Caenorhabditis elegans: one gene and its partner. The protein of the gene in region 2 interacts with the protein of the main gene of each other region in a biochemical or structural test. Each region holds a gene or a part of one and is shown on either strand. Other genes may lie near its edges.

The links. The genes of interacting proteins can lie anywhere in the genome.
Region 1: of the proteins of flp-15 (region 2) and npr-5, one has a biochemical effect on the other in vitro, tested with the Caenorhabditis elegans proteins (one study listed by BioGRID).

What each region holds. Positions count from the first base shown.
Region 1 is NC_003283.11:276,458-283,478, forward strand, and holds npr-5 (G-protein coupled receptors family 1 profile domain-containing protein), read right to left. Parts: upstream 5,260-7,021; 5' UTR 5,248-5,259; coding exon 5,099-5,247; intron 4,315-5,098; coding exon 4,123-4,314; intron 3,939-4,122; coding exon 3,782-3,938; intron 3,121-3,781; coding exon 2,914-3,120; intron 2,818-2,913; coding exon 2,589-2,817; intron 1,876-2,588; coding exon 1,718-1,875; intron 1,584-1,717; coding exon 1,510-1,583; intron 913-1,509; coding exon 777-912; 3' UTR 529-776; downstream 1-528.
Region 2 is NC_003281.10:13,662,896-13,669,760, reverse strand, and holds flp-15 (FMRF-Like Peptide), read left to right. Parts: upstream 1-1,921; 5' UTR 1,922-1,957; coding exon 1,958-2,021; intron 2,022-5,704; coding exon 5,705-5,767; intron 5,768-6,076; coding exon 6,077-6,213; 3' UTR 6,214-6,361; downstream 6,362-6,865.

The DNA.
Region 1 (7,021 bases), on a different chromosome or scaffold from region 2:
TAAAAATAATTTTTAAAAAATCTGTTATATTTTTTTCTGAAAGAATTGAAATTCACATATTTTGTTTGGATTTAAAGTTGCGTTTTTACAGCCAATAATGGTACGGTAGGAGCAATACAGTACGTTTTTTTAAAATAAGTATTTTTCGTGAAGATAAATTTCTCGGATAAAAATGAAAGAAATTTAAAATTTTTAGTAAATTAGTAGATAATTGTTTTCATGATATTTGATCTCTCAAAGGAAATTCCCGGAAAATGATACTCTGCGTTTAAATTGTTGTTTTTGTATTTATATTTTTTTGAATTTGTTTAGTAATGCAAAAAACTTATTTTTGTTTTTGTTACATCTGCCGGGTTCCTCTATTTAGCTGTTTGGTGATCTGATGAATACCGGAACTCGGTTAGTGTCGAGTGCTGCTAAAATTGTGATTCAGGACTCTTATCACCCCTACATTTTCGTAGACACAGAAATATTTGCCTCTTGCTCGGTGTGCATTTTCAAGACGTTTCCCTGTTGTATAATCCCATTTTTCTTTGCGTGCATCTTTATTAGGTGACGCTATTTTGACACAAAAAAAAACAAGAAAAGAAAACAAAGAAAATACAAAAAAGGCAATTAGATTTTTGTGGGGTTGCTGTCTTAGGAGGAGAAAAAGCGGAGCGAACTGGACCCGGATTAATCGCACGTTTCGTTATGCAAAAAATGAACAGAAAATAAAGATAATGGAATTTTTCGAGAGACGGGCAAGATGAACACAGGGGAGTAACGTATAGAATTTACAGCATCTCGCGGGTAGTACTCGTCGAGCCATTAGAAAGAGTTGCCTGCACATCTGTCCGAATGAGTAGAGGTCGGGAGGAGGTCGTGTAGCTGGATCCCTCGCAATCCAGAACCACCTGCTTTTTTCGAACCCTGCAAAATACAATTTTCAAAGATATGAAGGTATTTAGTGAAGCGGCGGACACCCCCCCCCCCCCGGGTTTGCTGTAGGATTAGCAAAACCCAGAAAATGTCGGTTGCGGCGGAAGTAGACTATGTGGTTCATGCAAATCGAGTCTCGAAATTACGCTCAACTAACTGATATCATGGCGCACTAATTTGTTCGGTAGAGCGCACTTGCATTATCGGATTGAAAAAAGCGCATTTAAACGGGAAAATCAACATTTTTTCTGTTTGTTAGCTATAAATTTGTATGGCTCGCTTTTCTCTGTTATTTAGAGCATTTAATAAATTCAAAAACTCAAAACTTGCAAATTTAACGGCGATTGGTCCAGCCTCTGCCAACTAGAATTAAACCCGAAAAAATTTCCAAAAAATTTCCAAAGTCCACGAGTAGTACACGACCCATGACGGCACTGCGCGGCAGACGCGCCCCATCGCAAAGAGGAGATGTGTACCCCATATCAAGCTTGAACAACGTACAAAAGACCAGGAAACAGAATTTTTTCGAGAAAAGTCAAGCAGTTAGAGGATTAGAGAGTTTTTTAAAAGTTAGAAGAGAACCTGTACCTGTCAATATTGTTTCTCCGAAACGTTGACCGCCGAATCGAGTTACTCACTCTACTGGCAAACGAGGACACAATCTGAAAACAAAAGGCGGCTCAGAGGAAGAGAGGGGGGACACAAAGGAAGCAGTGGAAAACGGGAAGAACACCAGGAGCACACGGCTAGGAGCAAACTTTATACAAGGGGACTTGAAGAAGTTTACAATACTCACCTCTGTTGAGTTGAGTATTTTTGACAGTCCGGAACGTTTTTGTTTTCGTGTCAGCCAAAAGAATAGCAGAGGGTTCCAGACGACTAAGGACATGGCTATGACGTGAGCATTTATTGCCCAGAAGAACGGCTGACGTTTTAGCCATTCGGGCTCTTTTTCTGAAAATTTTGGTTTCAATGTGTAGTGATTTTGAACATAAGTTTCGAAAACTACGGCAAATATTTTTTCGAACATTTTAATCGCTCACACTAGGAATTACAGCAGGAATTCTACATAGACCTACCACAGGCAGAAGCTTTTTATGTAGGCTTCCTTTTCGTAACATTACACCGACTTGGATTGAGCAGCATAAATTTTCACCAAATTATAAACTAACCACATTTTGCTCATTTTTACAAACTATACATTTTGACCTTTTTCAATTTAAGAGCCCATGTTACGACTAATTGAACGTGCTGTGCTGAGAAGAGATTTCGTTTTTCAGACCAAAAATGGCCCAAAATTACCAAATTTTGTAGTGAGGCGTTTTGAAAATTTCTCAAAAAAAAAGTTTGGGCGATTATTTTTGGAAAAAATGGCTCATTTTCAGCGAAGGTGTAAATTTTTACCAATTTTTACAAATTTCGGAATTTTTGAGACATTTCGAGTTGAGCTAAACAACTTTTCAAACTTTTTTTAAAAATTTATATATAATTTTTGGTCATTTTAGTAATAGTTTTCAGTCATTTGGGCCGTATTCAACCTTTAATAAGTTAATTTTAATATAAGACAGTCAAAAACAAAATTGAGCAGAAAATGTTGTCAATTATAGTTAGCGTTTTCAAAACAGTTGACTACGATTTTTTTTTCCAAAAAACAAATAAAAACTCACTAAAATCTTTGACCAAATTGAGTAATGTTAAAGGCAACCAACACCCGATAAATGTGACAACCATTGCAATTAGAATATAATTCACTTTCTTCTTTCGTGACGTCGCATCACTTCTCTGCTTTTGTGTCAGTGATTGACAGAATTGAGCATTTTGGATGATCATGTCTTTTGACACTTTTTGCAAGATTTTGAAGTAGCAATACGTGATCACTGCCATCGGCACGACGAACTGCAAATTTGGACGTATGTAGGAAAATTTCAAAAGTTTTAAAAATTTAGGTTTGCAAAATTTTTATGGTTGTTAGGTCAGCGTGTTTTTGCTCACCTGTAACAACATAACCGTAGTTCCGTAAATCTTTCGACTATTTTCGCTCTGCCAATTCGCCTCGTCGCAAAAGTGCCCGCAGTATGGAGTTTCTCCGGGCTGAACGTAAAAGCTTCCATCGACGTGCTCGAAAGACATAAGATACGGTAGATTTATCAGTGTTGAGACTATCCAGATAAGAAATGTTATTGCCAACGCTTGACGAATCTGGAAAGAAAATGAAATTCGAAAATGGTTTTTTTTTTTAATTTTAAAAATGAGTTTTAACCGGAAAAATTTAAAACTATCCAGAATTTCCTAGATTTTTTGGACAAATCCAAAAACTTCAAGATTAGAAAATTTAAACAAAAACCTCTTGGACATTCCTGAAATGTTAACAGCCTTCCAAAAAATTTAAGAAGCTTCAAGAAATTTCTAAAACATTCAAAAAAATTACAGAACCTGTCAGAAAATTCTAAAACCTTGTAGAAAATTATAAAACATCCCAGAAAACTCAAGGAATTTCTAGAAAATTATGGGAATCTCAAAAAAAAATTTAATGTCCAGAAATTTTTAAAGCGTTGCAGAAAACTCAAAAAATTCTGAAAGCTTCCCGATAATTCTAAAACAATAAAAAATGTATAACCTTTCCAAAAAAAAAGTCTGAAGTAGTACAGAAATTTCTAGAACACTTCAGAAAAAATTCTCGAGTCTTCCAGAAAGATTTGAAAACTTGCAGAAAATTCAAGGAATTTTAGAAAAATTCAATAATATCCAAAAAAAATTTAAAAACTACAATAAAATTCCAGAACTATCCAGAAATTTCTAGCTCATTTCAGAATATTCATGAAGCTTCAGAAATATCTAGCACATTTCGAAAAAAACTTACAGAAACTGGTTGTTTGGTGGGATCGTTGATATGCAGAAATTTATCTAAGGAGATTGCAGTGAGGCTCCAACTCGTCACAAACACCGAACACGAATTTGACAAAGGAACTAAATGGCACATCACTGACCCGAATGCCCAGTCTTTGGTCATCGCGTACCTGGAAAATGGGAATTTTTTGAAAGAAAAAATTCATAACATATTCTACAGGAGATATTCACCTAAAAAAACTTGCTCAAAAATTTTAACAATTTTTTTTGAAAATTACTCAATTTTCATTGCAGTAAAAGTTTAGGTTATAAAAATTAAACAATTTCCCTCAAAATTTTCACAAAAATCCATACCATGGTGTGACTGGAATCGCTGTGAACACCAATATCAAATCGGTGAAGATCAAGTTGAGCAGAAATACGTTGCGAGCCGATTGGAGCCGCTTGTTTCTCGCCACCGCCCATAGTACGCCGCCGTTTCCAAAAATGCCTAATACAAACAGGAACCCGTAGAGGAATGTGAAGATTGATCGGATGTAAAAGTCTCTGCAAAAATTTGATTTTTTGAGTGTAGGGGAGGAGAGGGTAGGACTTTGAGTATGGCCGGCACGTGAGACAAAAAAATGACGTCATACAAACCGTAAGGTGTCGGGTGCTACACGTGGCAGAAAAAGTTACGCCAATCATGCCCGCGAGGTGTCTACCGCTACTTGTCAAAGGAAGTGACCACACAGTGCGGCAGACATCTCTCGGTCATGTTCCACGTCACTTTCTTACAGCTTTAGTGTGACAGAGGAGGGACGTCGTTCATTACAGTAATATGTCGGCTGCTAAATCTAGAAGAGCAACGACGTTAGACATACCCTTGAAATGTCGGCTGCTAAGTTATCTAAGGTATTCAAACTTTCTCTTTTTGTTTCCCTGCGATCGCCAGTTTAATGTCCCCATTTAATTTTCATGGATGCTTCCAGCTCAAGAACATTTGAAAAAAATGTCAAGAGCACACAGCTGTCGGATGTCACAACAACTGTATCATCTATCTCTCTCCACCCTAGTTCTCAACAACTTTTCTCACACTGATAATGATAACAAAAATTTGCCAATTGATTTTTCTCCAAGGAAAATGAGAAAGAGAGCACTTTTCCATGTCACTCGTCAGCCACATGTCAAAAGTTGAAATGTTTGAGGACAAGTCTCTCGAGCGGTTTTGGGTGAAAAAGATGAGATCGTTGAACTATGACGGAAATTGTGATTTTTGTGGTGAGAAAAGTTGACAGGTTTTTTTGGAAATTATAAGTTAGAAAATCCATCCAGGATACCCAAAACTTACACAGTAATATCATCGATGCCTTGTGCCGCAATCGCCTCAGCGATCTGAATGCACGAGCCATTGTTCGAATGACTTGTGATAACGTTGCTGATGGTGGAGGGAGTCGTTGTGGTTGAAATGGTCGAAATGGTGGCCGCCGAACTAACCATGCATCGAAGGTTCTGGAATTGAAAATTTGATATTAAAGAGAGAATCTTTCAGAGGGGTAATATAATCGATAAAAGGATTTGAAAAAAAAAATTCAAAAAAGTCAAAATCACATAAAAACGTTTTGAAGAAAATTACATGCATAAAATCCATAAAATAAAAATATCGTTGAAAATTTTAGAGTTTTTAAATTTTTTAAATTCGAAAATCGAAAAATGTTTTTTTCTAAAATGGGAAAATCGAAAAGCGTGTTCTGGAAATTAATCATAAAATCCAATTTTCTATCAAATTTCAGTCGATGAAAAAAAAAAGGAAATTTCTTCTAAAAAAAAGAAAAATGGTAAAAATTTTGAGCTATTGTTCGGGAAGTAAAATTTTTATATTTTTAGATTCTTTTTTTTAGATTTTCAAAAAAAAAATCAAATTTTACATAAATTGTTATGTTAATGAAGTTAAATAAATCAATCTCGAAACCCGCTTTAAAATGTGCCAGGTAGTTCAAAAAACAAAGAATAATCTCCATAATTTTAGGACTAAACAAAAAACCTTTAAAAAATCAAAAAAATTATCTAAATGTCTCAGTCTTCCCAGTAAATCCTTGGTTTTTGACCTATGGGCTTCCAACAAAAAGTGTAAAAATAAATTATTATATGTACGTCACACAAAAAAAATTTGACAAAGATAACAAAGAGATTAAATAAAGAAAAGCTCTCCCTTGACCGATCACCAGTCCATTTTTGACCTATTAAAAAACATCAATTATTTAAAATTTAAGCTTGAAAAAAGTCACATGGCTCCTAGGAATAAAGCTAGCTTCTAACAATTCACCCAAAATTTGGAGGTATTCAGCGTGATAAGGTGGATAAAGTGTGACTAATGTTTGGTTCAATGGCAATTTGATGAATGAAATATGTAAAAGGGGGTCACAGGAAACTCGCATCATTATTATATGACTACCAATTTTTGACTACCAATTTTTCTTGGGCCTAACTTTTCAGGTAAGCATCAGGCAATTGGGCTTGCCTGAGGCGCCTTCCCTGCCTACCACAATTATAGGCTTTGTTTTAATAACAAATTTGTAAGTTTAAAGTAAAGTTCAAAAATGATAGTTTAGTTTTAAAACATTTTTTCGAATGCCAAAAAAATTCCAATTCCATTTAAGTGACGGGGTTTTTTCGAGGTATTTTTAGAACATTTACTAATGAAACAACAAAATTTTATAAAGTATTGGAGTCTAAAATTCTGCAAATGATATGATAAGATTATCAGAGCACACTTTTGGCTTTTAGAGCAAAAAAAGATGGAGAAGAAAGGAGAGAGAGAAATAAGGTTCAACAAGATTAGAGCAATTGGACGGAGATAGGGCGGAGATGCGATAATCTTTGACGTTTTTACGGCGAGTGGAGATGGAGAAGGAGGATTCTTAAAAACTGCGTGAGCCGGCAGTATGTCTAGTGAAATTTGAGAACACTACGAGAAGACTATCACCTGGTGTGGGAATTTGAAGGTAGGCAGGTAGTTTAGAAGGTTTTTATGGGTGAGCTCAATGGGGGGGGGGTGTTGAGTTTGAGGAGCAAGAATAACGATATAAGAAGAAGCAGTGAGATGGGAATTTTTTAGAAAAGTTTCAGGTAGACAGGCGCGTGTTTTAAATGTGCCTACCTACCAGTGTTGTGCGGTTAAAAAATTATATGAAAATTTTTACAGTGGTAAATTTCAACTTTTTGAATCCAAAAATTATGAAGAAATAAAAAATAATAATGATTTTTGCTTAAA
Region 2 (6,865 bases):
GTTTCTGCGCCTTGCTGCTTCTTGCAGACCTTTGAGATGTCGGCTGGTATAAGTTCTTTTACAAGTGAGTTGAAAAATATTGCAATAACTAACTGAATGCAAAAAACTGGCTCAAAATGTTAGCTTACAACTTTTTTGTAAATCGACGCTGTAAAAAGTTATAGCTCCCAAACCTGTTGGCTAACGTTTTTCAGAAGTGTTTTGAAAAGTTTTCGACTACTAAAATGTACAACAATGTTGGCTAGTAATTTTCATCGGTTGCTATATAGGTTTACAAATACTTTTTCATTTTGCCAGTTGATAATTTTTCAAATAGCAATATCACGGAAGCTGTTGAATGTTGAATATTGAATCTGAATGTTGAAAATCGCCTATATTGCAGGTTTAATTTTGAAACCTACGAGGCGTCTGTTGTTACAACTTGTTACTAGGTTAGGATATTTTTCAATTATCAAAATTTTCAAACTACAATAAAAATATATCATTGAAAAAAAAATGAAGAAAACGGAATTTTAAACACCGAAAAAAAACACTCGCTGAATTAATTCGGCGGGCAGAATTTTAAATTTTTTCCCGAAATCTTGAATTCCGAAAATCTATCCAATATAACGCGGAAAATTTTAAACGGTGTCTTGAATTCTGCCAATATCTCAATTCTGTTTCAAAAAAAAAGCCATTGAGGATTGAGTTATTATCAAAATTTTGTAAAACTTTCAAATTTCGAAATATAATTTTGCTCAATTTTATTTAAGTTGATACTTAAAAATGTATTTAAAAAAAGGTTCCAAGTTTTTCCCCTCAACTTCTCATCTCAACAAACTACAGAAATACCATTTCCACTTTGTTAGTTCCGTTAATTGCATACATAAAAGTCAATTGTCTCTCTGCAATATTGTGCCGGTTTCGTTTGAAATATGACCGAATTATGGATACACACGGGGCTACAGTAACACGACACCATTTTCAAGTGACAACAACTGGTGTAATAATTACCAGGTGTAATTATTGCCGCTCTGAAGTTTTTGGGGATGCGGCGGTCCAATAAGGGGTACTGTACGCTAGGTCACGCCTGTTTCATGGTTCTGAAACTTTGAAGTTATCGTTTTTAATATAATCTGAAAGTTATGAACATAAATTTTTTTTAAAAACAAAGGCTATAGTTGGGTTTTTTTAAATTCGAAGTTCTCGTTAGAAAGGGGTTGTGAATTAGAGTGCCAATCAGGGGTGCGCGGGAATTCTACAAAATGAGACGGTTGGGAATGTTCCCCCGATATTATTCGTTAAAATTTAATGGTACAATATAGAAAATATTTGCATTACTTGAAAATAACTGTTATTTCAGTAAAAAATATTGGAAAAATCTTCAAAAATCGTCTGAATGTTGAAAATTGCCGAAAAATTGACGCCAGTTTTCCACATTCGGACAATTTTTGAACACTTTCTCGGTTGTTATAAGTCAAATAAAAATTAATAGTAGTTTACAGGAAGTGTTCCTAAAGCTGAAATAACCACTCAAAACTCGTTCTTTGCAAAATTTAGTATTTTGTGTCATATCTACTGAATTCAGTCTGCCCCGCTACTTCAAATTTTTATATTGTCAGTTGGTATCACCGGAATCCATTTTTTTTCAAATTTTTTGATATTATCTGCAAAATTAATCTGAAAAATATATAGAATAGTATTTTAAGCGTTGAACTTTTTTGGTCACTTATATATGTGCCAAACTCCTGAATTCGGAGCAAACTTCAAAAGTGGTGTCAGGTTTTGTTGAAAAGTGGTACCTTTTCCCCAATTTCAAAATTTTCATTTCAAAAAATATCAAGTTTCTGACTGCTCATCAATAACTACAGAGCTGCGCAAAGGGCGGAGCTCAGATCCCGCCCTATCTGCTCGTGTGCGCTTTCGCAAGAGCTTTCGGCTCATTTTTTGGAAGAAGGTCTCCCACATACACCTCGTCATGCAGTTCTCCACGCTTATTCGAGTTGCAGTTTTTGCGGTTTTGGCAATTGCTACACTTGCAGGTAAGAGTTGTTGGCTAGATTTGCAAACTGAAAATACGATACGGATTCTATACAATACGAAAAATCAAAAAGATTAGGTTTTTTACGGAGTTTTATACATGTTTGGGTGAGTTGACCAGCTTTAGTTATAACTGCAGGTTTGAGAAGCATAATGGCTGAATAAATAAGTTTTAAAAAATGTATTCTCCGAGTGACGAATTCAAAAACTTATGATACATATCCTCGTGATCCGATTTCCAGCAAACTTGATATTTAGTTTCAAAAGTTTACATCATTTCGACATTCTGACAGGCAAATTGGCGGTTTACTCAAAACAGAGCTCGCCATTTAAGTCAAGTTGAACTTTAGTCAGTCAGATTGTAGATAATAAATCAAAGAAGTATGGAAATTTTTTAGCAACACCCAAATGTAACGGGGGATTATAACAAAAAAATTAACTGTCAAGTTTTTACTTTGGTGAGACTGGAGCAAAAACAAGAAAAACATTTAAAACAAATTGATAATAAATCGACCAAAAAATTCACTATAACTTGCCAGATTTTTTAAAATTGCTTTACTACCCTCAAAATTGTCTGAAAACGCAGACTTCTTAAAAACTTCTCGAAAAAAAAGTTATGACGGCTCAAAAAATGGTCTAAAAACTGTTTTGAAATTACCGTCAAATTTTGGGTATAAAATTTAGTTATCATGCGTTATCAACTCGATTTAGTAAGCCAATAGACGAAGAAATTTGGTAAAAATGTTTAAAATCTTTTGGTCCATCGACTTTAAAATAACTAAATCGAGTTGAAAAGGCAAAATAATTACATATACTCATATACTCAAAATTTGGCGGTGATTTAAAACAATGTTATCAGCCGCTGCGACATTGACAATTCCGTCAAATTTCAAATTTTGACTAATATTAGGCCCTTTTTTGAGCCGTATAACTATTTTTTTGAGAAGTTTTCATGAAGTTTCATTATGAAATTCGGGTGTTGTCAGACAATTTTGAGTCTAATAAAGCAATAAAAAACATTTTTACAAGTTATTTGTTACCAGTTACATTGTAACTGGTAACAAATTTTTGACAGCTCTAAAATTATAAATATATAATTTCAAAATTTCGATGACATCACCCTACCGTAACCCTGTCAGTTTTGATCCATTCCTCCATCATTTCTTGTCATTTCCTAATTCCACTTTCTTTGTTCTTTTCCCATTTGTCATTCAACAATCCCCTCCCTTACTCCTCCGCTTGTGTAGTTTAGTAGTAAAATTTTTGGAAAAATTCTGACTTTACGGATCACTGGGCTCCGGAAGTGAAAAGGTAAGGGTTTAGAAGTCAGAAAACTGAAGTTTTTAGATTTGTAAGTGGAAAAGTGCAAAAGATCGTTAAAATGTTTAAATCGGTTGTAAACGATGATGAAATTGATTTTGAAAGTCGCAAAACATTTTCGACAGCTTGAAATAGTGCCGGAAGCTGATAGTTTTTCCAAAAGCGTCGAAATTTGCAAAAAAAAACATCAAAAACTGTTTAAAAGTTTCAAAAATTTGCCAAAAGTTCATGAAAAGCCGAAGAGCTAGCGAAAATTAGTCAAGAGTTTTAGGAATATTCCAAAAATTGCCAAATTTTTAAAGACATTATTTTAAAAGCTGCCGAATTTTTTTGTGAGGATTTGATGATTGATCAAGAGTTTGGGCAAATTTCAAAATTCTTATAATTTTTCAAAAATTGTTTTCATTTTTTATAGAATATCGGTAATTTTGAAAAGTATTATTGCCGAATTTCGTGCAACAACTATTTTTAAGACAAAATTCAAATTATTTGAGATTTACAAGTTGCCAAAGAACCGTAGATAAAAATTTTATAATTCCTATTTCAAAATCAAAATGTCTCTAGTCTAAGGTGTAAGGGATTAAAACTTCCCACTAAAACTTCCAAATTTGTCACCACCCACGCCCGTCTACATAGTAGTGTCTTCTTCTTCTTCTTGTTTTGTCATAATATGTACACATGTATCAACCATAAAGAGGAGCCATTTGCATCGATTTTCATTCATTTCCACACTCCAGGGTCTAACTTTGGTAAGGTTTTATTGGCGGTGCACGTCCACTGGGGGTCGTCAGGCGATTAGTTTGAAAGTTTGAAACCAATGAGCAACACATGGGGCTCGCTTTATTTTGGAAACCTTTAGGAATGATGATGGTTGTGTATTTGAAAATGGGCTGGGGATTTTAATTTTAACAATTTAAAACGCAAGCGGCTAATTTCAAAAGTTAACATTTAAAAGTTAATTATTTTCACTGATCACGAAATTCTTTTGACACAATTTGAGGTTACTGGACAAAATTTTTGCCTTTTGGTACTAAAATTATCAGACGTCGATGATTGACCAAAAATTAGTTTTTTAGACCACAGATTTCAATATTATCAGTATTTTGAAATGCGATTAATTTTCCCAAGAAAATTTAATTAACAACACGATTTTATATTGTTCAAATTTTTTTAGAATTGCAAGTGTAGCAATTAATTTTTTTTTAATTTTAAACTAATATGTCATTTGTTTATTCCAAAATTGAGTTCCAGACGCTGCGACAGCGAGAAGATGGCAAAAATGTTTGATTTTAGCAGAAAATGAGCCTTTTTTCCAGAACTTTGAACTCGTTATAACTTTTTTGAAAAATGTTTAAAACGTTTCATACGAAATTCGGTAGTTTTGGGTCATTTTGGATCTAAAAAACAAAGTCTCGGATTTCGGTACTCCACCGTTAAACATTTATACCGAAGCAAGATAAAATAGGCATAGCAGCAGACTACAAAATTAGAGAGAAAACATTAGAGAGAATTGCAAAAAAATTTCAGTTGACAATAGTTTGATAAACTATTGAAGTTGGTTAAGAATTATTTATACTTTCAAAAAAAAGTTCGTCACACAAACCCGTTACCTAAAAATTCCAAAAACTCAGCTAGTCAAACAAAACGAGCTTCCTTGTCTAATTTATTCTTTTGTTCTTTTCTCTCACTTTGATAATGAAAACTTGACAAATTCTTCGTTTTTTTTCGAGAGCATCACGTTTATGCAGATGAGGGGGTAGATGTTTGAGATGAGTGATAAAAGATTGAATATTTTATGAAAAAAAAAGTTGGGGGAGATTTTTCTTTTTTTGGGTGCTGAGGTCAAACGGGGCAACATTCAAAATTTTGAGATTCTTTCCCAAAAAAGTACTACTAAACTGCCGGAATTGTCGAAAGTTTACCAAAGCTTTTGTCAAAAATTGTCTGATTGATTTTCCAGCAAATTTTCATTTTTTCAATTGAAATTTTTAAACAGAGTGTAGAAATTTCAAAATTTTGGCACAAAATGCATCTCAAATTACCAGAAGACAAAACAAAAAAATTGTGCCAAAAGTTTCACACGGCGTCCATTCGAATTATTTATGGAAAAATGATATGTACGTGTGTCGGAAGTGGGTTTCATGTGAGAATTTTTGTGAATTTTAAACAAATATTTAGAAAGTGGAAAATGAGAAAAAAAAAACGTCACTTTATAAATAAACTTGAAAGGATTCAGAAGGAATTTGATATTTCCAAGATTGGAACAATGGGAATTAAAAACTAATAAGTAGTAATTAAAAGCTCAAACTATGACTTTCAAATGAACCAAAATTTCAAAAAAAAAACAAGCATTCTAAAATTGCAGATTACGACGACAATTCGGTCGGAACAATCCCAGTGGCTGTTGATTTGGACTACTTTTCCAATTGTAAGCTTTTGAATTGTTAACTTAAAAAATGAAAATCACAAAGTTTTAAAACATTTGTTTATTCAAAACTTTTCGATCTCTTAAGTTTCTAAAAAGATATCAGCATTTCAAAAAATGTTCAGAAATACATTTTATCGCTGAATTCAAGTGAGAATACCATTTTGAAAATTAATACTTTTAAAAACATTTATAACAAATAAGTTTTCTATCTATTTTCAGTTAAAACTTTTTTATATCTCAAACGGTTTGATTGCTTTTTAACCTACCAATTTTTTTATGTTTGGTGACCACTTTATGCTAAATTTTCAGACGTAAAGAAAGGCGGACCCCAGGGACCACTTCGATTCGGAAAACGACGTGGACCATCTGGACCTCTCCGTTTTGGAAAGCGATCATCATTCCACGTGGCACCTGCTGCTGAAGACGTCGCGTCGTGGTACCAGTAAATAATTTGGAGAGCGGTCATTTTCTTGCCAACAACTTTTTTCTCCCCGATTCCGTTCCCCCGTTTTTCCATCCCTCACCTGACTGTGCTGCATGTGTTTCTATGAAATAAATAAGATGATTGGTTAATAAAATATGTTTTCAAGTTAATTATATTATTATTATTATTATTATATCATTATCGATGAACTTATAACAATTTTCAGAAAATGTCTGTCAAATGGATGAAAGTTTTGATATTCTTTATTTCGAGTAGTCGGCAACCAGCAAATTTCTAACTTTGAAATCGTGTTAACTCTGTAAACAGGGTGCACGGCAATTGCTTATTGCCGAAAATTCACAAAACCGACAATTGCCAAAGTTGCCAATTGCCGGAGATTTTGAAACCCAGCAATTGCCGAAATTGCCGATTGCTGAAATTCAGAATCGCCGGAAATATAAATTCGATACTTTTTGTAGATTTACGAAACTCAACATGAATTTTAATGGACAATTTTCTCTTTTCAAGCTCGGCATGATTTAATCCTTGAATGAAAATCGGCAATTTCGGCAATTACCAAAATTTCCGATTACCGCGCACCCATGTCTGTAACTAATGAACTATTGATCATTGAACTTTGGAAACTCAGAAAATTGAAAATGGTCGATGTTTTA